Drosophila melanogaster: one gene and its partners. Changing the gene in region 4 together with the main gene of any one other region gives a genetic interaction. Each region holds a gene or a part of one and is shown on either strand. Other genes may lie near its edges. The genes, in order: foi, ZnT63C, Zip71B and Zip89B.

What was found.
Region 1: of Zip89B (region 4) and foi, changing one enhances a phenotype caused by changing the other (phenotypic enhancement), as found in Drosophila melanogaster (one study listed by BioGRID).
Region 2: of Zip89B (region 4) and ZnT63C, changing one enhances a phenotype caused by changing the other (phenotypic enhancement), as found in Drosophila melanogaster (one study listed by BioGRID).
Region 3: of Zip89B (region 4) and Zip71B, changing one enhances a phenotype caused by changing the other (phenotypic enhancement), as found in Drosophila melanogaster (one study listed by BioGRID).

Annotation. Positions count from the first base shown.
Region 1 is NT_037436.4:8,523,246-8,528,271, reverse strand, and holds the start of foi (fear-of-intimacy), read right to left. Parts: upstream 3,029-5,026; 5' UTR 2,568-3,028; intron 1-2,567. Other genes in the region: GstO1 (glutathione S transferase O1), read left to right, coding at 3,470-3,497, 3,555-4,138, 4,198-4,319, 4,375-4,405; GstO2 (glutathione S transferase O2), read left to right, coding at 4,841-4,871. UniProt on the Drosophila melanogaster protein: Required for the normal migration of longitudinal and peripheral glial cells. During larval development, required for the migration of the subretinal glia into the eye disk.
Region 2 is NT_037436.4:3,302,030-3,306,735, reverse strand, and holds the start of ZnT63C (zinc transporter 63C), read right to left. Parts: upstream 3,029-4,706; 5' UTR 2,884-3,028; exon of another isoform or gene 2,463-2,883; intron 2,135-2,462; 5' UTR 2,071-2,134; intron 1-2,070.
Region 3 is NT_037436.4:14,990,488-14,998,329, reverse strand, and holds Zip71B (Zinc/iron regulated transporter-related protein 71B), read right to left. Parts: upstream 6,042-7,842; 5' UTR 5,859-6,041; coding exon 5,715-5,858; intron 3,748-5,714; coding exon 3,465-3,747; intron 2,185-3,464; coding exon 1,888-2,184; intron 1,831-1,887; coding exon 836-1,830; 3' UTR 347-835; downstream 1-346. Other genes in the region: mRpL39 (mitochondrial ribosomal protein L39), read left to right, coding at 1-150, 212-271; mnd (minidiscs), read right to left, coding at 7,114-7,500, 7,589-7,842.
Region 4 is NT_033777.3:16,303,899-16,309,203, forward strand, and holds Zip89B (Zinc/iron regulated transporter-related protein 89B), read left to right. Parts: upstream 1-1,859; 5' UTR 1,860-2,272; coding exon 2,273-3,500; intron 3,501-4,432; coding exon 4,433-4,692; 3' UTR 4,693-4,802; downstream 4,803-5,305.

The DNA of each region.
Region 1 (5,026 bases), on a different chromosome or scaffold from region 4:
TAAATTTACTTACTATTTTTTCAATATAAATAAATAAATAAACTTTAGGAAAAACTGCTTTGTTTTTATTGTTTAAAATTGCACTTTAAAATCGTACATATCGAGAGGCTACTGTACCAAAAACGTACGATTAGATTTGCTGAATCGACTTTAGTTCGCATAACATCTCCATATCGAAAATCGCACGCGTCTGTTTTTTCCGAATTCTCGTGGTAATTGTATAGTCGGCAAGTCACTGAACTCGCTGCTCTCTGAATTCCATGTGTACACCAAAATTTCGCATGATATCTCCAACGAATAGTGCTGTCCCATACGGATTAAATTTCCGCAGAGTAACCCTTTTTAGATGCGGAAAGCTTATGCAGCTGAGTCAGCATAAATGAATTTCATATACATAGAACCTCCACATAAATTCGTTTGGCATCGCAAAAGATCTCCATGCTGAAATTTCAGGATAAGGGTGGGTCTCATTTCGCAAATTGTGAAATTCCAAAACGTTCTGATTACTTTTCGATGAGTCAACATCATGAAATTTCACATTAAATCTCAATTTCATATACTCAAAATTCCTGGAACCCATTCCACATTTTATGCTTCGATCGCACAATCAAATTTCGCATGACATCCGCACAAAAAGCCTAAAATTGAACACGCGATCGCTCAAAGTTCAATAGATAAAACTTGATGAGTAAATTTCACATGATATGTACATACATGGTATCTCCACGTTTTTAGGCCCCTGACACTGCATAATATCTCGTTTTATACATGTCACAACCTTAAACTGCGAAATTAAATCTAGAAACGTACTCGTAGAACTCCTCGCAAGATTTATGAACAACTACTATGCACAATCTACAGTTTGTTTAGCCTGAAATTTCCACCGTACATCTACATCTCCAGATCGTCTCTCTACCTGCTGAGCAATTTATCTTTTATCTTGGCCGCAACACAAACACGAAATTCATACCTGAAACTTCAGCGAAATAACCTGCGAAAAGGTGTACCCAAGAATCCAAGCACATACATACACACACAAATTTGGGCATTATCTTTTTTTTTTTTTGTTTTTTGGTTTCTACCTTTTCATAAGCCAAAGCTTGATGTGAAATTTCAGCAGTGTGTTTAGGAAGATATGAAAAACCTCGCGTCATGTGATGGCCACATGGAACTGAAGTTCTGGATGGGTAGAAGCCAAGTACACACAACTAGACTAAGCTGAGGTCAATCACGTCGGATTCAGATTCGGACTCGGTCTCGGAATCCGAATGGACAGCTACGGATCCAATCCGATTGGATCAAATCCGTACGGAACGAGGCTCTGACCTTGCCATGCTCGCCGTCTGCTGAATTACATACTATGTACGCTGGCTGGCTGGCCGGTTTAGTATTCAGCTAGTACGACCCACCAAGTGACACATAACTGATGTTGAAGGGCTGGCCATATGCGATAAATAATTCATCTGGGGGCATCGAAATGATCGTGGATCGCCGAGAAACGTTTGTTTTCCGTATTGAGTTGTTGGTTGCTGAAATGGTTGGCTGCCTCAGTTGTTGGCGCCTGGTTGCAAGGCATTCATAGCTGATATTGCATTTTTTTTTATTTGCAAATATACATATCAATTTTTGCAAATTACGCTGGCTCATGAATAATTGATTGGCGGCGGGCGTTTGGCGGAGAAATGGAAAAGTTCGCGCCCGATAAGGATGCTTCCCTTTTGGCCACCACCGGCACCACTATCTATGATTCATGCACCACCTACACTTCTAAAAAAAAAAAGACAAAAACAACAGAACTATGTGGAAGGCAGCCAAAAGTGCGAAAGGAACACATGTTGATATATGGGTCAGTGGCGATAACAGTGACGGCTTCCAAAGGGGGTTACGCATCCGGAATACAACTTAAATATTTCATATCCCTCAATGCGCAATACAAATATAAAATCTAATGACGTTATGTGTAAGGTGATAAGAGTATTTATTTACGCAAAATGTAAGCTGTGTACGTCGAACACGTGGATTGTAATTGTAACTATGATCGTTTGGATAAGTCTATTGATTTAAATAGAGAGAATGCTAGAGATAAAGCATACGCGATGTGAAGACTCATCCACGTTGTCTTCCCCCTTGAAATCTTATCTAGCCCCGCCAGTGGATGATAAGCATTCTGGCCCGTTTGATAACACTAATTCCATTGATTTTGCGTAATTAGGCTCTGAAGATAGCGAGCATGGAAATGGTATCAGAATTGCGCTGAATTATGTATAGAACACATTGATGATGTCGATCGAAAATAGCATAAAAACGTGCTGAATATCAGTGTAGTTACGTGTGCATCTGCGTATGTGTGTGTACAACAAATACATATGGATGTAAGTGAGCGGGTGTCAAAATCACACGCACATGGAAATGTCCCGCTATAAATAAATACGAGTGGGTGGTGGTGGGTGGATTTTGGGCGGTGGGAGGTGGAATGGGGGCGCGTCGCATGCACTTTCCATTCTGAACGAACTTATGCCAAGATTAAACAAAGGCGAATAATTAATGCAAGCCCACTACTAACTCACCCGTAAATTTGCCGGACTGTTTAGCACATCGCACACTGTAACACACACTCACACAATTCCCACTAGAGTTATTGCGGGATCGAAGATAATGCTGGACGATTCTGGGAGCTATAGCTTTTGCCGATGCGGTGGGCGTGAATGAAAGAGGCCGTAGAGATTACGCCGAGTGTCAATTACGTTGCAATAATCTCGGTTTGGCACGGGAAATCGAATCGAAGCGAGTCCGCATGGAGCGGCGAGATTTGCACGGGATACGGAGTACGGGATGCGGCCACCAACACCAACACGGGCTCAGTTACGCAAGGGCGAGCTTACTGTAAACATTTTCCGGACACGCTAAACATATGCCGCAGCAGCCATCTCTCTTTCGCTCACACCGCCAAACACAAGAAATCCGCAACTAAAACAATTTTGTTATAACAATTATCGATAGGCGGTAGGGATGTGGAAAAACACCGAATCATCCGCGATAGGTATCGGTGTTCCGTTGCTATCAACGCTACACATCGATGGCGATCAATGTAACCTCTTGCAGCAAATATTAAAAACGATAAATATAAATTGATTTTAGATTAATTATGTATATACAATATGTATTTGGAGCAGTGATGCAAATAGTCTATTATGGATATATAACCATAAATTATTGAAATTAAAGTCCTAAATAATAGATGAATAGATGACTGAATTATATTTAAAAAAATTAAAGTTGTAAAAATTAATATTTAAGATTAAGATAGATTTTTTTAAACCGATTAAATAATAATTGATTAAAAATACATCAATCCTGTAAAAAGACAATACGTTATCGAGCCACCTTAACGTTTACTGTCAAATATCGATAATTGTCATAACCCGCAAAACAGGTTGTGTTCCTTTCCAGAAAAAATTGTATTGCCAATATGAGCAATACTCAGCACTTAACTATTGGTTAGTATAAGTTACTAAGTTCCAAATTCACATTTAAAAGGCGCATATATATTGCAGGCTCGCCAAAGCCCGTATTTCCGGATGATGGGATCTTAAAGCTGTATTCGATGCGCTTTTGCCCCTATGCACACCGTGTGCACCTGGTCCTGGATGCCAAAAAGATTCCCTACCACGCTATCTACATCAATCTTCGCGACAAACCCGAGTGGTTCTCCCTGGTGAGCAGCTCCACAAAGGTGCCGGCACTGGAGCTGGTCAAGGAACAGGGAAATCCTGTGCTGATCGAGTCGCTCATTATTTGTGACTACTTGGACGAAAAGTATCCGGAGGTGCCATTGTATCCCAAGGATCTGCTTAAAAAAGCCCAGGAGAAGATTTTAATCGAACGTTTCGGACAGTTCATCAATGCCTTCTACTACCTGTTGCTGCACGACAATCCCGAGCAGCTGGTTGACACCGATCACTATGCCGGATTGGTCGTTTATGAGGAGGAACTGAAGCGACGTTGTACCAAGTTCTTTGGTGGCGACAGCCCAGGCATGCTTGACTACATGATGTGGCCCTGGTGCGAGCGCTTTGACTCTCTGAAATACACTTTTGAACAAAAATTCGAATTGAGTCCGGAACGTTTTCCCACTTTGGTGGGTCCTATTGGTTTTCTAATTATGTCTTTTAAATTACCGAGATTGTTCTACTGCAGATTAAGTGGCGCGACTTGATGATCCAGGATCGTGCTGTCAAGTGTTTCTATCTGGATGGACAGACCCATGCCAAATACATGAACTCCCGGCGATCGGGCCAGGCCGATTATAATATGCTATAGTAAGATTTGAAGATTATACATATAATGTGTGACTGATCCATTTCTCGTTTCTAGCAATGAGGCCAAACGTGTCAAATTGGGGTAGTCTACGGGATGATGGCGTTTCCACTTCAGCATTGTACCTTTTGCACATATAACATGTAACACATGTACCTACTACGGCAGCATTATTGTGATTGAAAAATAAATCTTTGCATTTTCATTGTTTATACGGGTTGTAAGTACGTTTGTTTTAGAATTAGATTAATGAAGGTATGAATGATAAATGGATATGAAAATACTTATCTTAGAGTAGTCGTTTGTAGTCTTTAATATGTGGTCAAACAATTTTCTTAAATATGAGCTTAAGAATTTTAAATTCACCCGCTCAACAATCGAAATATATTCGATAAATTCACTCGTCCGGCGACTGCGACCACTTTATAAGGTACCGGAATCCCTCTATTTGTTGTCAGTCGATCGGAACTACTTTGCCACCAACATTTCACGTCTTGGGAATTATTTTAAAATTGTTAACAAAATGGCCCTGCCGCAAAAGCACTTCAAGAGGGGTGAGTTGGGGGCACTTCAAGGTCATCGGGATAGTGACGCTGCAAAAGTTGGCAATTGATTTCATAGTTTTATCTAGACCCCACTTTGAGAGGCGTAAATTACGCAGAGATAGAGCTTTAATTTTAGCCAAAGCATAATGGAAAACTTTCTGCTG
Region 2 (4,706 bases), on a different chromosome or scaffold from region 4:
ATGCACAGAATGTTGTACAAAGTACTCGAAAGTGGGCATTTCGATAAGCCAAATTAGACGCACTGTTGATTTATTGATCGGCAATTTGTAGAAAGATTTATTAAGCAGGAATTAAAGTAATTTTAAGATTGGGTAAATCTTTTTGCTACGTAAGTGTGAAGTGCAGCACTGAAAACAATTTTAGCATTCTTATAGATTTTGCGATGTGAACGCTTTTGAATTTTATTATGTGAGTATTCCCATTTAATAGGTGCGTTTCACTCACATAAAGTTACGACATTTAAAACCAAAATGGCAATCAATTAATTATATTAATGGCAAAAATTGCAGTTGACCCACAAACGAAAAGAGTCATTTGTTCTCCACGGCGACAACGTGGCGACGATTAACCCGGTTCTTTTTCCCGACCTCCGGGAACGGAAGGCGGACGGAGGTGCTCTGGAAAAAGGGCGGCGCAGAGAAAGGCAAAGTAAGAGACGGAGCTGGGCGTTGGGTGGTCCAACCTGGTTGAGTTCCACGAGAACGGAGAACAGAGTGAAAAATATACAAAAGAATTTCATCAGGCTGGCAGAAAGGTGAATACTATATATGCATTTGCAAACATTGCATGGATGTGTCAGCTAAAAATATATCCACCTGAATTTCTCCAATTTGCATGAAGTGGCGTCGATAAACAAATAACAAAATCAAATTTCAATGGATACGGTACGGTGGATGCGGGAAACCCTTTTTCCTGCATAGCAAGTGAAAACCGTGTCAAGGTCACATGTACATGATTCTACTCTTGGAAAGCCAGCAGCTCAGGCAACTTTGAGATTAGAATATGGTATCGTTGGAGAAGCAGAATGTAGTAGTTATCTGGACCTAGGTTAACCTACTTTAGTTGCAGTCGTAAATCAAAGCCAGCTTGCATGGTGGTCGGAGCAAACATAACCCACTTTTGGCCCCATTTTCGGCTGCATTTCAGTTTTGGGCGGTAGTCAATGTGCTTACCCACAAATCAAATTGGCCAGTATCAAATATTAAATGCTGCTGCTCAAATATTCACCACTGAAACTGAACCAAATCAACTGAATAAATATGGTACATATTCGTATAGCTAAACAAATCAGAGCAGCGACGACGAGCTGTTCTGTGTGCTTTAATTTGTTTGCCACAAAATTATATTAGCACATATTGATTTTCCCCTCCTCCTCGATCTCACTCAATTTTCGCTGATGACTGACTGGGAGCCGAGAACAAAAAGAGTTGGAAAGTCACTTGGGTGAGTGCCTGACCTTTAAATCGAATTATTTCAGCCACACCGAGCAGGCATTTAAAGTGATTTAATTAGGCCCGGAATACAAGAGTTTTATGCAACAGTGAAAATCGCTGCAACATACAATATCTCAGAACCGATACAGAAAGAAAATCGAACATAATTTGCAAGACTTAATGAGGAAAAATAAACCTATATGGGAAGATTTAGAATCTATAAAATCTGAAAGATATTACGCTTTAACAAATAAAAACCTGCTATTTAATAGCTGTACTGCCTATTTGTTTTTCAAAAGTAATTTAAATAAAATAATTCAAACATAGCAAATTAGCCTTCATATTTATTTGGCTTGATAAGGAAAAAGATCGGGATTTCCACGCCAGAATTTAAACAACTGCTGTGAGTCAGAAAGAATTTCATATCAAATAACCAGCGAGAACCGATGATTAAGTCAAAACAACCGGTTTTCGAGGATGGGAAATCGCGGGAAGGGGCCATAAATCAAGTATAACAAGTCCTAGACGAAAGGAACTCAAAAGCAAGCGCAGATTAAGATCGATTGTTGAAATGCAGATATGCTCAGCTACTACCTGACCACGCCCACACCCGCCCAGTTCGGTGACCCACGTGCAACAATAACAGACATGCTGATGCAGGTCTCCTGCAGGCAAATCCCCTACGTAAGATAATGGATATCATTTCCGAGATTATGTTTAACTAAGAAAAGAGATATAACACTCTTACAATCTATTTTTTGAAGTTTCATTAAAAATTGATAATGAGGCTAAGAATAATAGGTGTATTTAACTTACCTTAGCTTTAAGTCTGGAAATCGGTTCTTTGGTTGTTAAGGTTCCTAAGCTCCAATTGAAGAGGCTAAATTCAAAATACACATAATTGAAAATTAATAAAAAACCAAATCCAGTGTATACGGAGAGTATAGGACTTTAATAATTATTTGACTGAATATATGTATACTTTATAAAACTTTCGCTGCACTGTTGATAAAAATAAAACACGATATCTTTACTATTTTCGCAATTAAAACAGGGAAAACGCTTAAAAATGTTTACAAATGTATAAGTCACTTTGGTTTGACGATTTAGATAAGTTGATAAGTTGACTTTTTATCAACCATACAAATGCAAATTAAGATTCTTTGTATTTCCCCTGTTTGTGGCTAGCCGATATTCACTGTATTAACAAGGACGCAAGTGGGAGCGGGGAGAGCGGTGCACGGGCAGTGTTGCTGTTGTTTTGCGATAAAAAGAGTGGAGAAAGAAAAGAAAATAACTTCCAATTTTCGCCGTTGTTGGCTTTGTTGCTGCAAGAGCAAAGTGTCGACTGAAAAGTTGGCAAAATAAAATAGTGAAAATAGCATGGGCATCTTGGATTTTGCAGAAATTCCTTTGCTTCTCCTTTTTCCGCCTCAATTGGGGGTGGCACGCATACATACAAACAGAGTGTGTACATACATACACGTATGTATGCAAGTTAATTGTGCACAGTCACAATGGTCGAAAGAGAAGAAAGGGTGCGGGTCGGGAAAATCGAGAACGATTCACAATTGCACGTGCACTGGTCGCGATTTCCGTATATCGCCTCACTACTCCGCCGTAAATTACCGATTGGGCTGCCTGCCTTCTTGGTTGCTTTTTGCCGCACTTGGAGCGGAGCGAACAGCACAGACACAGATGTACAGCGCGGGTCCACGAATTTTTAATAAATAATTATTTTCCCGACTCAGTGTGACTGCAGCCACAGTCATCGAAAATCCATCCGGGCAGTTGGAAAATACCAATAATATATCGATAATATTTGTGCAGCTCTATCGGGTTAACAATAATGACTATCGACCGTTACAAGCGGTCTTTCAAAAATAAGTTTGAAAACTAGTAAATGTAGTAGAAACCAAAATAGGAGCCAGTAATGTAATTGAAATAAAAAACTGGCAGGCTTTTGATACATTTTGTCACTTTTAATACGAAATATTTTTGTGAAGGGCTACTTTACAATAAATCTATTTTTTTAGGCGTTACATTTCAATATAATGTAGCTTAAACTCTTTGTTTAACGCAAAACTACCAACAACTGCGTTTAACCCCTTTTAACCAACAAAAAGCTCGATGGCACTCAAGCTCAAAGTTGGTTTGTGTATTGGATGGGAAAGGTAAATGACTTACTAGTGATGTCGTGCCTTTATAAGGAAATTATCTAAAAAATAAAATATTTTGGCAAAAAAAAAGAATATATATATTTTCAGGGCAAAAGTGAGTTGTTAGTAGAAACATCCAACTTTAAAATCTTTTTTGAAGATAATATTCATGGCTAAAGCGGCATCACTGACCACGATCATTGGGGATTTCGTTAGTAGCGCGTTTACCGGCCGAGGAAACAGGTGTACAAAGAAACAAAGCCATCATAAAATCGGTAATTCCAAAGTGACTACCCCCATAATCAATTCAGAAATCAGCGGAATTATATTGAGCACGTTTCAGCATTTAGTTTAACTCAAGACTTATTTCCATTTTTCGTCAAAAAGTCAATAAGACTTTTACCTATTTTACCTTTGCTGAATTCCCCGTGTGCGTGAAGTAGTGAGTGATAAGATTAGGCGAATGGGTAAATGTTCCCTACGTGATAACAGGCAATTGGAACTTGAAGAGAAAATAAAGTGAATAAAGTGTAAATAAAAGAAACCAAATTTAGTAAATTAGTCACTGTGAATGGAAGGGAGTTAGTACGAGCTCCACATACGCAAATCTATATGTGCGACAAATGACAGTCATCGGCAGTGCCCGTAAACAAATTATGATAAAAAAGATAAATCTATTATACGAACAGAGGAGATATGCTCATATGAGCAGCTTCCGGCTTTCGTACCGCTTAAACTGAAATGTCCAGTGGAAAATTATCTAAATTGGACTGCGAGTGCTACCGAACCTGTCTCTGATATTGTTATTGTTATGGTTGTTGGCATAATGATAGTGGCAATGATATGTAGGCATATTGTATGGGGAGAAAATATGTAAAACACATATAGTATATAGTATGCCGTACAGAATAAATTGCCATTTTCGAACAACTTCTAAAATGTAAAATTCGTTAATAACCCTAAAGTAAACAACGATAAGGAGAGTACAAAGGTGAGCGTAAGGCTGAGATTTATATGGCCATAGATTGGACTAGCGTGGCAAACGTTGTAATGTGGCTAAAACAGCGGGCTTCAAATTTGGTAATATATCAAAATTCGATAGCTGTGAACGTGATCTTCCTGAAAATCTGGATCAGGCAACTTGTAAATGGCGTTAGAACAAAAGATCAGATGAGCACACAATTAGTCGTGGGTTTTGTGTCTACAACACAGGCCATTGTCACTAGTTATCCGCTTGGGTCATTGGCATTAAAATGGTAGTCAAAGTAGAACAAAAAGCTAAAAAAAAGTATT
Region 3 (7,842 bases), on a different chromosome or scaffold from region 4:
TTGGGGAAATGCGTCATCTCGGCTGCCCACAAAGTTGCGGAGGAGGGTCCCTCTGGTGCTTTCTATCGCATTCAGGGCGTTGCACTGCCGTCTGGCTTCCAACTGAATCATGTTGCATTTGGTGTATTGGAGGAGCGTTCTAAGAAACCTGTGAGTATATCTCGACGTTTTTCGATAAAGAGCTGTGTCACAAATTTAAAACACATTTTAGAGCCCCGCACGACTGCCCAATGAACCATTTGAGGAACAACAACAACTGCAATTATCTTAAAACGTTCTTTAATATTTAAAACTATACTGTAAGTGTTAAAAAAGTAAATCATTAAAGAGCGTCCTAATTTGTTATAACAAAGAAAATCCGTCTTTAAAAGGATATGAGCAAACAAAATTCTGCTTTTACCATTTTAACTTACAAGCTAATTATCTTATGGAATGAAATTCTGGATAGCTCTTATTATTTATAGATTTAGCATTCGTAAGGCAGAATTTATATAAAAGAACACTTTGGTCTTATTTTACGATTTAATGATTCTATATTCTTTTAATTGCCAATGCTAGGGTTTCTCTTTTTTGCTCACAGTTCTTTTATTTTAATTGTCTCTTTAAAAACATTTATATTTTAATATTAAAGTTTCAATAACACTAAGGAAGGTGCTGTTTAAATCATACATAAAGCTGACCACAGACTAACATTTGGTAACGATTTCATCTCTAACAAGTAAGGCATGCTTAAAGAAGCAAGAGAATCAGAGATTCCACAGAAACATATTCTTAAACTACTATCTACAATAAGAAAACAAAATTAACAAAGCTGTTTGAGACTCAGAGCTATTCTTTAAAAGCTCTTGAACAGGCCCTCTAAATCGTGTTCATTGAGGGCAATAGCCAACATTATCAGTCCACCCAGAAGGATACCAAAAATTTGTATTATTATACCCTTTGGATCTTTGGCCTTTTCCGGATTGTGGGCCACACTCATTGTGGGCACCAGATCGGCAAAAGCAATATACAGGAAGGAACCAGCGGTGGCTGCATAAATCCATTGGGTCATGCCGTCTCCAATTCCAGCAATAAAGAGACCCACCGACATGCCCACAAAGCTAAGAACTGAGCTAACAATGTTCATATAGACGGCTCTTCGCATGGAGACACCTGTTTGCAGCAACAGAGCAAAGTCGCCCAGTTCGTGTGGCAACTCATGGCAGAGAACGGCAAAGGCGGTAGCAAATCCAGTGACCGGATCACTTGCGAAGGCTGCACCTATGGCCAGACCATCGGTCAGATTGTGCAAGCCATCTCCGATGATTACCATGAAGGCTACTGGGGTGAGCGGTCGATCGGGGGTCTTCTCATCCAGCTTGGCCTCCTGCAACATCACATTGAGCTCTCGAGGAGGTGGCAGATCAATAGCATCCTTTGCAGCTGGCTTCTCCATATGTCCATGACTGCGGCCGTGGCTGTGACCATGTCCGTGGCTATGTCCATGACCCGGCTTACCGCCCTTTAGCAGCGGAATCAGGTTCTCCAGCATATACATGAATAGAGCAGCCAGGAAAGTACAACCACATAGCAGAGCCGCCTCATTGCTATGTTTGTGATCAGATTCCAAGGGATTGATACCAGTGACTTCCTCCTCGTGCTTTTCCTCCTTGAAAAGGGCATGGGGGAGCAAGTGCATCAGGGCATCGCCAGCTAAAGTGCCCACAGCGATGGAAACTAGGAACTTGAGAATTTCCTGATAGGCAGCCGACTTCATCAAAGGAACCAGAAGAATGCCCAGCAATCCGCAAGCGGACAGTATAAGCATAGTGATGCTGGCATAGATCCAAGCTAAATCGATATAGGTAAGTTATCTTGTATAACAAAGTGTTAATTATAGATACCTACCGTACCATATCTTCTGGTTCTTATCGTTAAGGTTTACTGATCGTACAGCTGGTTGCTTGCAAACTCCATTATCGATCTGGGCTAATAGAGCTGGACAGAGTTTCATAAAAGCTCGCGGAGTGATCCGCACCGAGTTGATGAATTCGTTGTATTCCTCTTCAGAATTGTGGACGCCATCAGTTGAGCTAACGTCATTCTTAATGAGCAGCTTGCGGTAGGCAATGTTTTTGTGGAGATCGTTGTGGTTCACGATGAGGGAAAGTAAAGACTTCGGTGATAAGCAAGCGGCAACAGGTTCTGAAAATAAAAAGTGTAAAAGTAATGTAATTTTAAGAACCAGAGAAAATATTTCCTGTTTAAGGTAAAAGTCTAAGGAATAAGCACCTTGGGACTGCATTGAGTAATTCTTGTTGCATGTGAATTACTTGTGATTTCTGCAGTTTGCAATTTAATCTATACGTTATGCATTACTATATAGCGCTGGCTGGGTTCACATTATGAGCAGCAACTGTTTGTTCTAATTTAAACCTTTTAAGCACTTTGTTTATAATGCTAGGTATGGGGAATTTTCTTTTTCCCATGTTTACACTCATTCTATGGAAATAGCAAACGTATTTCTTCGACTCCGACACGTTGCCCTCTCTCAGCAGTCGATTGTTATCCAATTCGCATGTGCAAACTTGCCATTAATCCAGTCGGCTGTTTAGTGTTAACTTTATATGGGACAACGTTGTAATGATTGTGTGCACTTCAATTAAAACTGTAAGGCTTAGCCAACAAAAATAAATAACAAGCGAAGCGATTGAGGCCTGTTTGTTTCTCGTTTTGTATCTGTATCTGTATCTGAATCCGTTCAATTGTTGTTTTCTTTTGGATTTCCGCATCCATAATGCGTCCGTTTATCGTGCTATCGCCCTGTTTTCGTCGCCTGCTGACAATGATCTTTCCTACCTGTTGATTTACGGCTACATTTACGGCCCAAAAGGAGAAAGAAAAACGCATCTGATACTAAGTATATATACGCACATACATGGTAATGATAATTTATGCGACAAGGCCACGATCACAGACGGAACTTCCTATCAACCAAATGAGATGGGATGGAGGATGGGATGGCATAATTGAATTGATGATAGACCGCAGTCGCCGGTCGCCTTGCACTTGGAAATCGGCCAATTGATGGAAAGAGTCGAGTCAAGTCGAGGGCTTCATCTATTTATACTATATATATATACTATACTTCTGCCGGGCTCAATTTTGTATTGTGCCACAGGTGGCTGGTGTTTTATCATGTATATATGCTTGTTATTAACTGCCAGTCAAGTGAGCTTCAATCCGCGTATTTTTTGGAATTTCTCAGACCTGGTGGATTCTGGAGAACCGGAATAAGTGTTAAAACAAATTATCCTAAGATTTATGACCATGTTGTCTATCCTGGCGTAGCTTAGGTATTATCAGTCATAGCTGATGGTCGGCAAATACATACAGTAATACGGTTGGAAATAAAGTGCGAAATCCCCGACCATTAAGATAAGACTGGTGCACATCTTCATTAAATATTAAACGACGCCACTCACCAGAACTCTCCCTCGGATGTCGGTGCTTGGGGTCATGAATTTCTAGGAACTCCGGAACCTCGGCCTCCGACTGTGAATTTGAGTGATTGCCACGAGGAGAGATTTGCAGCTCCAAAGCTTCCTCATCGGTGGCATTGACTCGTGTCGGCTCAAAGTAATACGTTACATTTGTGGCATGCGGCATCTCGTTCGAGTATCCCTGAGGTCGATGCTGATCGATCGTGTGCGAGGGATCGAATTGGATTTGACCCAAGTTCAGGCTGAACATCAAATGCTCAAGACCCTGGAAAATATTTTAGTTCCTCATTTAATAGGCATTTAAAGCAGCATTACAGCATATTTAGAGAGCACTTAGACGTTATCTGGAAGTTTTCCAAGATACAAAACCAAAGTAAAACAAGTGTGATTAAGGCACACGTTATTGCAAGGCGCAAAATATAAGTAAACTATCTAATGATAAGGACAGATAGCATTATGCTTCAATAATTGTAGACAAACTATTTTCTTTTAACGATAATTAAGTATTTGATAATAGGTATTAAAATAACATTGGCAATGATAAATAGACTTACAAATATCTATGCACAAATTCTCAGAAAGTTTGATAATTCAATAGTTTTAGATAGTTGTGATTTCCCTAAACTATTTAAACAGTAAGTGCAACCTTGAAGTTTTAAAACCCATTTAAAAACAACAATTAATCTCGAAGTAGCTGGAGTAAACGCAACAAAACAACTGCCAGCTGTTTTGTTTTCGGTGAGCGTCCTGAAATCGTTTTTAAAAACAAACCTTAACCTGCTGCACATTTTTCACAGTAGCTATCCACGAAATTTCACGCCGACAAATCGATCGCATTTGCTATTTATTTAACTAATTTGTCAAAGTATATACTCTGGCTGCGATCTATCACCGATAATTACTTGATTTACTTGTCAACGTGCCAGGCAATTATATTTACATCTGAATTCATTTGTTTATTGTTATTCCTCCATTCTGTCGCATATTTGCTGTCGCTAAAGTGGGTGGAGATTCCCCGGGGCGGCGGTGGAGCCCCATCTAATTGCCTCGACAGCGACCTGTCGCCGGGGATCGGGGCGTGTGTCCGGCGTGTGATGAGTGGCTCCAAAGAATTGCCCAGATTCCCAAGATCAGGATGGCGGAATTTGCATATGAACAAACATTAGACACACACGCGCTGGCACACACAAAAAAAAAAAACTATTTATTATGTAGCTCATGAAGCCACCAAATGGCGAATTTTACTTTCATTCAGCTGAGATTTGTTTGTGTGCCAAGTGTGCTATATGTAATCAAATTTGGAATATTAGAATGATGATAGAATACGAGACGGTTGGGTGGGCATGGGACATGAGACATGGGGCATCGGGCATCCAACCCTTAATGTTAGTATGCCGAGTGCGTAAAAAGTAAAAACATTTTTAGTAGCGGCTTGCCATTCAAATGGACACACCGTATTGCGTAGCCCATACGCATGAGTAATGTCAATTGGCTCCGATTGTTCGGAATCGGACGGACTATAGCTTTGGAGTCCATAAGCATAACGATCGCGTTGCGAAAGTTGCGGTTGCTTTTGTATCTTTGGTTTATCGGGCATCCAGTGTGCGCCCATTAGGAGGAGGAGCAAGCAGTCTTATCGGGCTTATCATCTCGTAATCTCCGACGTGGATATAGAAGGATGTCTTGGGCGGGGGGTGGGTGTTGTTCGTCGTGTTGATGCTCAAGTCTCGTACTGTACATCTCACTGTGCCTGTGCTGCTCGTTAGTCTGGATTTTGATTAAATTTATGATAATGCCAGCAATAAAGTCTACGTTTTGTATCATACGAAGTGCCTGCTGTCTGCCCACTGTGTTATAAAATTGCTGCGCGCATATAAAGATTACAACCTTTTAAAAGTGACGCGATAATCGCTGTTGAGAGTGTTTTGGTTGCCCGATCAAGCCGAGTTGGCCAGAACACAATTGTTTCACTTTCACAATGCCCAAATATTTGATTAACTCGTAATCATATGAGAACACCCCCCCCCCTCCCACACATTGTTTTTGTTGCTGGCCCAAAAATGACAAAAACGAGAGAAAAAAAAGAAGACACAAACTCACTAATTTTTTGCCATAACGCTAACCGCAAAAGCTTTGTCCCGTGTCCGACTTTGTTTACCTGTGTTTACCTGTGCTCAAATTACGCTCTTGTGTGTGTTTACAAGGCTAGTTCGATGGTTTATTGGTTATTACCTCAAAGTTGATTGTCCCGCCGTTGCCGTATTTTTGAAATATCTGCGCCACGTATTTGTTGTATTCCGTGGAAGCTGGCACTGTTTTGAAAAATAGTGAGCCCAGGCAAAATAGGTTTAAGACTAGCACCTGCTTTTGGGCCATCGTAATGGACTGAACACTCAGGTGGTGGTAGATAGTATTTCTCTTTTCGTTTTATTCTATTCGTTTTATTGAACCCGGTTATCTACTGGTCACTCGTCATTTCACTGGGGGCTTCACCGGGATTTTTTCGAGTTTTTACAGACGCGTGCGATCCGTAACACTGCAGCCAACTACCGATCCCGTTCAACGGTCTTTTGAAATGACAGTTTCGCCCACGCAACGTTTTATACGACTTTCGGTTCGACGAGCGTCGGCGCGTTCTCCTTTCTCCCTCTCTCCTTCGCCCACTGGGCGGGCAACTCATCGCTCTGCGCACTCGCTACAAACTTAACTGTCATTTGGATTGAGCTTTGGAAAAGCTTTCGCCGGACCATCAAATTTGAGCGCCAAAAATTAATAAAGTCGATTAACCTGTTCATCGGCTAAACTCACATTAAATAGTGTACTCAGCCTTTAAATTGAAAATACTAAAGTTTTACACTTTCCTTTCATAATCTTAAGAATCTGGCTAAATGTTATTATTAAGCAACAATACTTTATACTAAAAACTATCCGGTAGATTGTAACTATGAAGAAAAAGATTGCATACCTAAAGGCGTTGTAAAGGCGCTTTCATCAAGTAGTGAGTTTTAGAACTCGCTGGAGTAGGAAAAATAACTAGAAAATGAAAATATTTAAAAAAATTAATAAATATTGTGGTAGATAATTATGATACTTTAAATAGATACCATGCGAAATGATATAAGTTACTTTTTTACCTTTAAAATGCCAATTTCCGCCCACTTCACAAAAAGTAATAAGATTAAAGTTTAATGTGTTTATTATTAACTTTCTTATACAAAACAAATTCGATTTTTTACATTTCGCAAAAAGTTGCATCAATAATAATTATTACTTACTGAATAAGCTCCTAATTACTTGTATAATATGTAAAAATTGGTTCGCATTTTGTATAACAGGCGTACTTCTGCTTTCGACGAGGAACTCATTTTTTTTGGGTTTGAAATATACATTAAAAGTACGACTAACAAATAATATTAATTGAAGCAGGGACTTCCCTACCAGAATGCATTTGAGTTATTTACAATAACACTTTTGTAATGTTGTGCGTAGGTTTTCAAAATTTCGCGTTGCTAACCTATCTTAGGGGTAAATTGAGACTTATCCTAACTACAAGATATTCCCTTCTATAGTTGCGTTGATCGATACATCCACAAAAGGCCCTCTCTTCCCAAAGTCGTAGAGTCCTGCAGTCCTAGTCGAACTTCTCCTGGTTGGGCATACAGATGAAGAATTTGGAGCACCACAGGTTGATCGCCTGCGAAGTGTCCGCCAGCCATTTGACCGGTTTGTGGATGGTCAGGTAGTAGACCGGAATTCCAGACAGTATAATGATCGTCCCGATTCCTACCACATATGGCGTCTGCGTGCAAGAGAAGATGACCAGGAACAGGCAGACGATCAGATAGATGATGGGCAGCGCCAAGTTGACCTTGATGGGTCGCTCCGTCTTGGGTTGCTTGTAGCGCATCCACAGCAGTCCGGATACCGAGATCAGCGTGAACAACGCCTCCACGTAGCTGACGTAGTTGATTAGTACGTAGACGTCCTCGATGAACAGCAGCAGCAAGGTGAGCACGCCCTGGGAAATTAAAAAAAGAAAAGAACATGATAATTTGATAAAAACAAATATTTATAGATTCTTTACTTAGGTTAAGCCTCTAACTTACCAGGAATATCAGCGAGGGCACAGGTGTCAGGCAATTAACGTTAATCAGCGAAATGGCGGCCGGCAGGTGACCATTCCTTGCACCGACGAAGAAAAGTCGCGAGGACGCGAAGATCGCTCCATTCAGCGAACCAAAAGTGGAGCAGGCCACAGCGAAGGGCATAATCCAGGACATATACCCCAGCATCTTGTCGCCAAACGTGACTGCCACTGCATCTGACGAAAGGATCTCGTCTGGCGAGAGAACCGAAAAGT
Region 4 (5,305 bases):
AGCTAAAATCAATAAATTGTATGTGGAAATATATATTTTAAACAAATTTTTTATACTTATTACAAATATACATATAACGAGGAAAACCAATATAGCATTAACTATACAAGGACAATGCAAATTTTTCGTGTTGTTTTGCAGTCTTTTAAGTATATAAAAGCAGGAAAAACATTGAAAACCAGTAAATCAAATTTCATAATTTACATGAATAACATTGCATAAACAATTAACCAAAATTTCCTGTATAGTTAAAAAACTCATTTGTATTATATATGAAATATTAAAGATACACAAACAAATTACGCTAAAATTAATATTTCTATGACGAAAATGGAATCCGGAGAACAAGAAAACCGCACTAGTTTATATAAAGTAAATTATAAAAAATATACATACATAATTGACTTTAAATGTTGAAAAACAAAACCAAAACCAAATGAAAAATAACCCATGCATTGATTAATGTATTCAAGAACGGAAATTTACATATTTACGACTCAAAAAGGACAGAGTGCGGAGCAGATCAAAGATAACAAAAAGCGTTTAATGGTTGGCAAGCAAGCAGTGCACGCAGGCCTTTTGCTATTTGCAGGTATAGCAGTTAACATTGTTAACTGCGGCAAAGCAGTTTTAACACTAAAGTAAAGCGAAACAATTTAATTATAATAGAGCTAAATAATAATAAAAAGAAAGCGAGCGAAGACGTACTCAGAAATATTTTCCAACAGGAATGTTGTAGGCATTATATCGTTTGCGAACGCGAATAAAGTAAAATAACAACAGAATTATTGTGTAAAAATGGTTTATTATTAATGTATAAGTATAACAGCAAACACAAATGGTAACTTAAAACAATGTAAGCAAACCAAGAAAAACAACCAACAAAAAAACGAAAAAAATATGAAAATTGAAAAAAACCAAGAAAAAATTAAAACCAAAATAAATGAAAAATTATTACAAAAAGCTTGTGTTTTTTTGGCCATATATGGAGCTGCTTTAGTAAATTGATACATTTTTTTGTTCAGCAAGTTACGATAAATAATAAGCTGTGCAACAAAAAAACAAAAGAATTAGACCAATTACGGTGGGCTTGATTATACTAATTAATAGATCATGGGTCTCTAACAGATATCTCACGATCTGTCCACGCTCCCATCTGGTTTTACCGACTCATTTCCCAAACACGACTAAATTGGTGTTTTGGAGGTATCCTTTGTTTCCGTTGTAACCGTTACACTTGATTTTAATTTCACAAATACCTATGTTACTATCTACAATACATCTTAATACAGTTGATACAAATGCTATTTTCAGTGCCCCGTTTACTCAAGTTGGAAAAAACTCTTTCTGCTATAGAGGTGGCAACCCTAAATAAGGCTTACATTGCAAACCGTTAGTTACATATGCTACCTACCAATTAGCCAGGACGCAAACCCAGACCGCAAAGCAGAGCTTTTGCTTCCGGCCATCTAAATAGCGCCAAAGTAAAAGTCGCGATCCTACATCTTGGCTAAGGTCAGGCGCCTTTTAATGCTGCCCAAAGTGAACGGATGCAATTACTCAATTACTCTGGCCTTTGTGCATTGTCTGTAGATGCCAATATGTGTATGTGTGTATATATATATTTATGCTGAGCCCAAGACAATTAGCGCTATTGCCAAATGAAACAGCGGCGCACAGGTGAACGTTCGCGAGTGGGAGAGCGAGCTTTAAAAGCAGTTTTCTTGCTACTTACCTGCTTAACTTGCTGCTCATGTCTGGTCTTCGTTAGTGGGAGAATCGGAAAGAGCGTTGAAGCATTGGAGCACGGGAGCGTAGAGCCCGCGCAAGATATTCAAGTGAATTACCAAATCCCGATTCCGTCAGTCTGCGAGGTCGCCTCAAGCGCTCAACACCTGTGCGCATCTAGAAAAAAAACAGAAACCTACCTAAATACCAATCCAACCCAATCAGTACTACCAATAAGGACAGGCTCTTAAATCAAACGAAGTGAAAGAAAAGTGACTGAAAAAGTGAAAAGCGGCATGCAAGTGCAGAAACCCAGCCCAACCAGATGAGCCCAACCCACAACCCAGTCGATTGAGATTCCAAACGCGACACATGCTGCTGGTGCTGGAATAACAGTTTTAGCCAAGAGAGCTGCTTGTTTTCGACCACAAGTGGTCAGAGAGGAGAGCCGGAGCCCGCAGTCTTTTAGCTGGTTCGGGAGATCTGTGGAAAACCAAACAAACCAAGTAAAATCGAAACAAAACAAACAGAAAACAAAAGCAACATGAATCAAACGCAAGTAAATAATTTCCTCAAGTGCTTCCTGCAAATCGATGAGCCGTCCAACCGTTGGACATCACGTCACGACGGGGAGGATCTCGATGATAACGACCATGATCATGATCATGACGACGACAACGACGACGACGAGAGTGGCGTTCTGGTTGCCAAGGTCACAGCCATGGTGGTGCTATTTTGCGCCAGCGCGATCTGCGGGTCCATTCCCTTCTTGCTTAACCGTTGCTATCGCTGGACGGAAAACCAGACGAACGCACGATCCGCCATTGTGGTCAAATGCCTGCTGTACTTTGGAGGCGGCGTCCTGCTAGCCACCACCTTTCTCCATCTCTTGCCCGAAGTTCAGGAGGTCGTCGAAGAGCTGCAGGAGTGCGGCATCATCGGAGAGCTCACTTTTCCGCTGGCCGAGCTTCTCATGTGCTGTGGCTTCTTCCTCATGTACTTCATCGAGGAGGCCATGCACACGTATGTCCATCATCATCAGAAGGATGAGGCTGGCGCCGCTTTCGAGCGGGGTCACAGCATCCGAAACAGCCACCTGCTGAAACCCACCGAAGGCAACGCTACCACACCCACAGCCCCACCGGCGCCATTGGCTGGCACCGCTGAACTTGGAACACTATCGGTGCAGAATCTCCTGCAAAACGATCTGGAGCAGCAAAAGTTTGCTACCAAGCCACAGCAACAAGCTAATGGACACGGACACAGCCACGGGCATGGACATGGACATAGCCATCTACCAGTAATCGCAGACGATGCCGATGCGGGGGACATGTTGGCTTCATCTCTGCGCGGACTCTTCATCGTTTCCGCTCTGTCGCTGCACGAACTCTTTGAGGGCATGGCCATTGGCCTAGAGAGCTCCGCCAGTTCGGTGTGGTTTATGTTCGGTGCCGTTTCCGCACACAAATTGGTCCTGGCCTTCTGCGTGGGCGTCGAGCTGATCGTGGCCAGGACCCGGATGTTACTGGCCGTTCTCTATGTGTTGACCTTTGCGGTGGTTAGCCCTCTGGGCATCGGAATCGGGATTTTGATAAATCACGGCGAAGAGACATCCGGACCCAGTCTGGTCTCCGCCATTCTGCAAGGATTCGCCTGCGGCACGCTCATATACGTGGTGTTCTTTGAGATACTCTCGAAAAATCGATCCGGTCTGCGCGCCTATTTGGCCCTCTTCGTCGGCTTCCTTGTCATGTTTGGCCTGCAGCAGTTGAGTAAGTATCACATTTAAATAATAATTACATGTTGTGGCCTTTGAATATGCAAATCGTAGGGATTTAGTGAGACAGAAATTTGCGATGTAAAATACAACTCGGTCTTGCCACTTAAGGCAGTTTTCAATTAATTATATATTGCTTTTTATTACGCAAATTTACATCAAATGATGATTAGTGTACATTTTGCTACTTAACCAGAAATATTGTTTTGTTAGTTTACTTACATTGATATCTATGAATTGCCTAGACACATTAGACCTTAGGGACTCCTGCTTTAATCATTTATCCTTTAATTGGTGATACTTAATAATAAGCAGGCTTAACGGTGATTAGTACGATCGTCGCCGTGTGCGTCAGATGAGATTCTTTAACCGGAATCGATTCGGGGAAATTGGGAACAGGTTCTATATAGCTGATCTGCTAAATGCTGCGTGGTTGACCTTGTAACAGACCTTGCTGTGATTTATTTTGCATACTCATATACAAGACGGCTTGTCAGTCTGTGTACCTAGAGTAAATGTGAAATAAAAATCCCGTCCCTGCCATGAAGTCATCTCGCAAAAATCAGGGGGTTGCCCATGCGAAAAAGCACCGTGAAAACCGCACTCGCAATTGTATTGATGAGCACGGGATAAAAAATCAGACGAGAAGTTTAGGCCACAAATATGTGATTACCCGAAAGTCGGTTAGGTTTTTATATGGTCTAGGGCCAGATAAGGCAGGACAAAACGCTCATAAATCATTGCGTGGAAGTGGGCTGTTGGAATTGAATTCCCATGCTACCATGACGAAAAAAATGTTAAGCAATCAAGAGAGAAGTGTGTAAATCACCATGAGGAAACAGGGTCTACCCGATAAGGATTGGCATTCCTAACAGCATACATTGTTCAACCCTATAACGTGTCACTAACCTTCCTTATCGCTTACAGCTTCCATTGGCGGACATGGTCATAGCCACAGCCACAGCAGTTGCTCCACGTCGGAACACACACACAACCACCAAGAGACTGAGACTGAGACCAGGTCAGCATCGGGCCACACCCATGGCCACCAGCACGACCATGATCATCCACATCACCACAACCACGCTGAGGAGCTGGCCACGGTTCACAACTATGAACAGCAGCTGCAGCTCTTGCGGCAGGTGACCCAAAAACTGCTTGAAGCCCACCCCAAGAAGGACGCCTAGATTGTACCCTGCTCAGCAGAATACTAATTGTATATGTATTTATGTGTATTATATATTTGTACTGTGTAAAAAATAGTGAAAGTAGAAACAAAATATATATTAAAAAACTGAAGCGATTAAATTCTGACATTAAATGCAATTGCTAAACTGGGTCAAAAAATAGTAAACGCTAAGAGAACTAGAACTCTTATCTATGCCCAGTATTTGTGGCCTTTACAGTCTTTTATGAGGTTACAGCCATTTATGACTTCTACAAAACATAAATTTAGAGAAACAAATAATTTATTTTTGTGAACTTATAGTTAAACACAGAAAAAGCAACAAGGAAAGTACATAAAATATTACAACATTCCCTAATGTTCAGGGAGCTTTTAAAATTTTTCTTCTTAAACAATAAAAACAATTAGTGATTCGACATTAGGTTTCATATTAACTGAAAATCAAATTTGCCCATATTCAGTGGTTAGCGGTTACGTACATATAACAAAGTGAAGATACTCGTTTTTAAGTGAATAGATCGGACATATCAGATTGAAAAAGTCATTAGCAAATCCGAATCGATTGATTAATGAAATATGTCAATAAAGCTAAGGTATGTTTAATTTCAAAATTT